Yarrowia lipolytica: one gene and its partner. The protein of the gene in region 1 interacts with the protein of each later gene in a pairwise test. Links are inferred from orthologs where the notes say so. Each region holds a gene or a part of one and is shown on either strand. Other genes may lie near its edges.

Region 1 (3,421 bases):
CTGAGCCGCTTCTGTTGCAGGAGCGGGCTGCTCTGACTTGGCAGGCGTGTCAGGAACTTGATTAGATGACTGAGACGATTGAGCCGACTTCGGCGATAACTTTTGGGGTGAAATAAACGTCCCTTTCTTCGTCTCAGGTGTACCAGGCACCTGGGTGTTTCCCTGTTTCGTCTTACCATGCGTATTTTTAGAAGGTATTGGTGTATCTGGCACTTCCATAGTTGTATCGGGTAATTGCGTAGACATAGCAAGCGGTTTAACCGGAACTGGAGTCGCCAGCACCGTGTCCGCTGAGGTTCTCTTGGCTGCAGGGATCGAATTTAGAAGAACATCAGGAAAGCGAGTACCTGGAATAGGTGTTTCAGTTGTCTTCTTCGCGACGAGGTCGTTCTCAACAACAGGAGCCTGGTAGCTCACCGGCTTCGTCCGTTCCAGATTCACTGGGAACTTTTCCAGCTGTTTGAGTTTCGATCTGATACTCTCTTCGGTATGTTTGTGGTTCATAAGTTCGAACAGATATCTGAGATCTGACTTACCCAGAGGTGGCTTTCCAACGTGCATGTCGATATAAGCTGTAAGGAACCGCACTTCTCCGTCGGTATACTCGGTTCGCGCTTTCTTGGTCTTGGCGAACGGCGAGTAGTAATCTTCGCCTCCAGAGTCGCGTAATGGGGGAAACTGTCCCTGTCTTGCACTGTCCAAGACAATGGAGACGCGCTTGGCTCCAAGACGTGTGTTTCCTTCGAAGTAATCGGGAACGAGCCAGTAGTCGATTGGCGTGGTGTTTGACGGTCTGGAAACGATTGTTCCCCCTCCTTTGCTAATCAGAGCCATGACGGCCTTGCGTTTGGGCACGTCTATGGTGACGAAAAAGGAGTAGGGCGAAAACAGCAGGCTTGAAATGGTCAGTTCTTGGCCTCCGTAAGCCGGGTCTTTCACGGTTACCTCCGCCATGGTTGCTGGTCGAATATCTCGTGTGTTAATGAAGTGTTTATGAAGTATACTGGGACGCGTCTGGGCTGTTGTGGGAGTTGGGCATCAACTAATTGAGTTTCGTTTAGGTGAAGTTTACTGTAGATATGGGGGGTGTGAAGAAAACATTGGAGGGCAGGTTTTTGGCCAGAGTGGTATATCGTACAGTGTAGGGCAGTACTGTAGTATTATTAAGCCACTTTGAAGCCGCACTAGTGGCACATCTAGAGTATTGGGATCGTACTTGTTTATCTGGTGATAGTGTTCTCGTGTCAAATTGTGAAGACATGTTACTCTAGAAGTTTGGTGGACTCCATTGACCTAATACACTATTATATCGACACTGTGCATCTGCCAGCGAACAAAATTGGAACTGTCTAATGTGCAAGGAACACGTGGCTGGCACTCCAGTAATTATTACATATAAAATTGATGCTACGCTTCTTCAATTATGTGTTACTGTACTCGTACTACTCGTATTGCACCAGTAGAATATACCAATTCTGGGACCTACCATCTTGTCAGTCAAGGACCCCAATTCACAGCTACAGTATGTATTGTACTGTACTTCTGTACTTGTACTTAGAGCCCCTGCTTGTCCCCCTGTAGAGAATGGTGTGAGCCTTTTTTCTTGAGATATGCCTTCGGTGGGAGACCATCAGAGGTACGAGTACAGCACTTGTACATACGGTACGAATTACGAGATATTTCATTGAAGATGCATCTATCATACACGTCATGTCTCAATCGATGTGCACTCTCCGTTATTGAGGGGTTTTACTCAACAACCCCTCTCTGCATTCCCCTCTGTTTCTTGAGTTCGTTGTTACAGCATGTCTAAGAGTACTGTAACGGATGTACACTCACCCCACTCCCTACAGTTTCACCACCAACAATCTCTGACCCACTCCCAACGGCAGTACGTAACCCCTCTCGCTTAATTAATCCCCAAGTATGCAAGTTCTTTACTTCAACAAGGTTTCGAAACGGTCGTGCTGGTATGCAGTGTTGTTCTGCCAACTGGCGTTAAATCGCGACAGTTCTCACACGACACCCACGACGGATACCAAGAACACAACATCCATTGAGTGACGCTACTTGTTCAATAATACAAGCACGGTCACTAAGCACATACGGCCACTATCGATCTCTCGACACACAACAGACCCGTTTCTCTCCAACACAAATAAACACAAGAACCCTCAGCATGGTCACCACGATACTCATAGCCGCCTCGGCCATATTGGTACTACTACTGTTACGGCTTCTGTTTGTGTTGCCAGCATCGAACCGATTCGGATTCCTATACAGACCGAAACACTCAAATCCAAAACTCATGGTCATGATGGGATCAGGGGGCCATACTGGTGAGATGTTGCGGATGCTCAAGACCCTCAAGCTCCAAAGCTACGCAAAGCGAGTCTACGTGTCGTCCTCGGGAGACGTGGATTCACTTGAGAAAGTCAAGGTGCTGGAGAGCACCACCAAAACAGACATCAAGACAATGGTTCTCGAAAACATTCCTCGAGCGAGAAAAGTGGGTCAATCCTATCCGTCCAGTGTGATCACGTCTGCCGTATCGTTCGCTGTGGCTGTTAAACTCGTGCACAAACACAAGCCTCACGTCATTGTGTGTAACGGCCCTGCCACCTGTGTCATGCTGTGCTACGCAGCCTTTCTGCTGAGATTCATGGCTCTCATTGATACACGAATCATCTACGTCGAGTCTCTTGCTAGAGTGAATCGTCTCAGCCTCAGTGGGCTCATCCTGCTGCCGTTCTGCGACCGTTTCCTCGTGCAGTGGCCTCAGTTGGCCGAAAAGTACCCCAGAGCCGAGTACCACGGCATTCTAGTTTAGCCAGATTGCAAGCATACTGTAGAAGCAGTCTCCCTTTCTCCATAGCTATTAATTTATTTATTCCCTGATCTGATTTTTTACAATATTTAACAGCCTACCGTACGAGTCTGGGTACGAGTACCAATGATGAACGACATCCGACCTCCGTGCTTCTTACTCAGAGGTTATGTAAGCATCTATAATCATCACAAACCTTCACCACTAAGGACCCCATGTATCTGTGGTCGATCTGACCTTGATTACTACGTTCATCACACCGCGCTCCTGTATGATCCATTAGTCATCAGTTTGAGCTCTACACATCTCGTATACATGCTTTTTGCTCGTAATTTTAATGGTGCATGCGGCTCCTGCATCATGTCCTCAACAAGTTTAGGGTTTTTACTTGGTAATGAGATAATGTCTTTATCAGGGCAATGTGAGTCGGACGTTGAGATTTAAAGCTTCATAGTATCCACAAAGGTCTTACATATCCTGGATATTCTTTTTAATCGCATTAAAATTTTGTTCTGATCAAGTTATCACAACCTTGGAATTTTCCAAAACTCCGATCTACACTCAACCTTATTTCAGACTTACAATACCTAGGTT
Region 2 (3,311 bases), on another chromosome or scaffold:
CGATCCACCAATGCCTCCGAGTCCTGTACCTCCAATTGAACTGCCTCCAAGGGCATCTGATCCGGTGGGCCCTTCGCTGCTGTCAAGCTGTCTTGTCTTGCTATTGATCTCCTCGATTACGTCGGGTCTGAAGACCTGTCGCTGTTCCCAGACCTCCACCACTCGCTTGATTTTGTTCCGGAGATCGGTGTTGCCCTCGCGGTAGGTGGATACTATTCCGTCCACAATGACAGTGGAAAACGCCTCGATGAATTCGTCTCTCTTCTTGGCCTTGGCCTGCTGGACCACATCGTTAGCGAGGTAGATCATAGCCAGTTTTCGCTTGAGAGGAATGTTTCGAATGTAGTCGTACCAGGTCTGTGCGATGGGTCCGCAAGCTCGTCGGTGGAACTGGATCCATTGAGACACCGAGACAATTGAGTCCTGGGTCTCATTGAGTGCCGACAGCTTCGACATGAAAGAGTCCACTGAGAAAGACATGTGGTGTTGTGTTGAATAGGATGAGATATGAAGTGATGATGCTTGCTAAAAGCCCCTGTGGATCTGTGTGTGTGTGTGTGTGTGTCAGTAACGTTCCTGTTGTCGGTTACGGTGTAAAAACAGGTGTGTCGCTTTTCTGGTTGTCTCCAGACAGTAAAAGCGGTCGCTAAAATGATTGTTCTGGAGAATTGCAGCAAACTGCAAGTCGGTTTTTAGGCCTTTCGTAACTTATTTACGTTGTTCTGCATAGTCCTTGTCTGACCAACTAATTAAAGTACAATTTCAACAAATATTTGTACGATGTTGCCATTGGGACTACTGTACATTTTGTACGTACAGTAATCCAAAGAAGGCTGGTCATTGACTGTGCCTGAGTACAGTCAGAACGGGGGCTCCAGAGATTGTGTGGGGCTACTGGAAATGTAGGGATAATGAATTGGTCGCATTGATCGGATTAATTTCAAAAAAAACAAAAACAATTCACTTCCATACGTGATTTTCCTCCTCGCACAACCACAGCCACCTTATCAACATTTTAGACTTTCATGACACGTGACGTCAATAAGCTCCACATCATCACCTCCCAAGATTCATCACCCAAATAACGCAACGTCACACACATCAACAATGGCTGACAAATTCCCCGCTCTCGAAGATATTGACGATCTCCCTCAGGATGTCGAAGTCGATGTCGACATCAAGGACACCCACGCCGACGAGGATGACTTCAAGAAGTCGTTCCCTTCCCTGGAGGACGAGGAGAACGATCTCACCGAGAACGCATTCAAGGAGGACTTCCCCGCCCTCGAGGAGGAGACACAGGCTACCACCGGCAACGTTGTTACTGCTGAGGCTACCGAGGATTCCTCTCCCGTCGATGGCCTTGAGACCTCCGTCAAGAGCCTGAACCTGTCCGAGTCCACCGCTATCAAGGAGTGGAAGGAGCGACAGCAGCTGGAGATTGAGCGACGAGACCAGCAGGCCGAGGCTAAGCGAAAGGAGACCATTGAGAAGGCCCAGAAGGCCATTGACGACTTTTACGAGAACTACAACTCCAAGCGTGATGAGGGCGTCAAGTCCACTCAGGAGGCCGCCAAGGAGTTCCTTGCAAGCATAGATGATACTTCCTCTTCCTCTGGCACCACCTGGGACCGAGCTCTGAAGCTGATTGATGACTCTGACACCGGAACCAAGGAGGGTTCTCGAGACAAGACTCGATTCCGAGAGATTCTTCTGTCTCTCAAGGGTGACGTCGACGCCCCTGGTGCCGCTGGTTACTAAATGTATGATAAGATAATGATTTAATGAAGTAACAATTAGTAATTTGTGTTGGTTGAAGTGTCACATTATGTGCTTTTGAGGTGCTGTACTAGTACACTACTTGTAGCTACTGCCACACACAAGTTCTGGCATCTTAATAGCCGTGTCAACTTGTCCATGTATACTGACACGTAAATCGAACGAACTCTACACTCAAATTCAGCACAAAAGCAGATGCAGCCAGAGTACGCGTTTTTCGGCTTTAAAAGATGTAGAATCAGCCCAGTAGCAGACATGATTTCTGTCACAGTCGTTTGGAATATCCCACCTAACAGTGTGCCAATCCTAGTCGTCCTGGACCTCAATCGGTCATGCATGAAAGCAGTGCATTGAGTAAGTTGTACAACTGGGACTGTAGTGTCGTATTCATCATCCTCAACATCTACACCACCATGCTGGTCTTGGTAACAACAGGTGGAACGGTGCCGTTTGAGGCTCTCATCGAGCTGGTACTCTCACATGAATCCATTACTACGCTTTCCCAGCTGGGATTCTCCAAAATGCGCGTTCAATACGGACGGGGCAATCGCCATATCTTCACAAAACATCACAAGGAAGGCGTCATGTCGATAACGGGGTTTGAGTACACCGATGATCTCGCAGGTGAAATGTCGAGGGCACATTTGGTTATTTCGCATGCAGGAACTGGATCTGTTTTGGATGCACTCAGAATAGGCAAACATCCAGTGGTTGTGGTGAACAGTAAATTGATGGACAACCACCAGATTGAGATTGCCGAGGAACTGTTCCGGAAACGGCATTTGCTCGTTTCAGGAGACACGGACTCTGTTGGGTTCATCAAAGCCCTTAAAATGCATCGGGAGTATCTATTTGAGACTCTTCCCGATCCCGAAGAGGGTATTCTACAGCGCATTATTGAGGAGACTGTGTCTTTTATGTAAGGTATTGGGCGTGAGGTTGCGAAGAAAGGTAGCTACTTTCCATCGTAAACGGACTATGATCTACGCTTCTACATCAACTAAGTTATTTCATGTTGTATTTCATTAAGTAGCAATTATTTACTTTATATAAGACGGCGTTGCCATGTCGTGCTGGCTGTGTTTGGTGGGAAAGTTAGTGGATTTGTGCTGTCTAGTACATACTGTACATACTCTGACCTTGGTGTTTATCGTCCAGTCATTCGCTTACCAATCTCACTGACCCAGGTAGGAGCTCGCTCAAAGCCGTTGTTACCGCTCTGGTAATCGATCATGGCAGACATGATACCCTCCCGAGTGGTAGAAACGAAAGGGCCGTGCTGAACAATGGGTTGGTCGAGAATCTGGCCACCCACGACGATGATTCGAGAGTCCTCGGTTTCGGATGCTCGGAACTCAACTCCGTCACCGGCAGTGTCAAATATGGCCACATCGTTGGTCTTGAGAACCTGGCCGTCAACGGTAGCACCTCCCTTCATGACGTAAAGAAGAACATTGAAGCCATGGGGCATGGTCTGCTCAAGCTTTCGGCCGTCGTACTTGCTGGCATCAATGTTGTAGTCGAGGTACCAG

Evidence for each region.
Region 2: the proteins of YALI1_B15180g (region 1) and YALI1_E39395g interact in binary tests that used the Saccharomyces cerevisiae proteins (3 or more experiments, as listed by UniProt). The link is inferred for Yarrowia lipolytica from reciprocal best matches to the Saccharomyces cerevisiae genes ALG14 and ALG13.

What each region holds. Positions count from the first base shown.
Region 1 is NC_090771.1:1,516,785-1,520,205, reverse strand, and holds YALI1_B15180g (uncharacterized protein), read left to right. Parts: upstream 1-2,179; coding exon 2,180-2,830; downstream 2,831-3,421. Other genes in the region: YALI1_B15192g (uncharacterized protein), read right to left, coding at 1-954. UniProt on the Saccharomyces cerevisiae protein: Involved in protein N-glycosylation. Essential for the second step of the dolichol-linked oligosaccharide pathway. Anchors the catalytic subunit ALG13 to the ER.
Region 2 is NC_090774.1:3,937,378-3,940,688, forward strand, and holds YALI1_E39395g (uncharacterized protein), read left to right. Parts: upstream 1-2,111; coding exon 2,112-2,702; downstream 2,703-3,311. Other genes in the region: YALI1_E39378g (uncharacterized protein), read right to left, coding at 1-480; YALI1_E39385g (uncharacterized protein), read left to right, coding at 1,108-1,761; YALI1_E39414g (uncharacterized protein), read right to left, coding at 2,927-3,311. UniProt on the Saccharomyces cerevisiae protein: Involved in protein N-glycosylation. Essential for the second step of the dolichol-linked oligosaccharide pathway.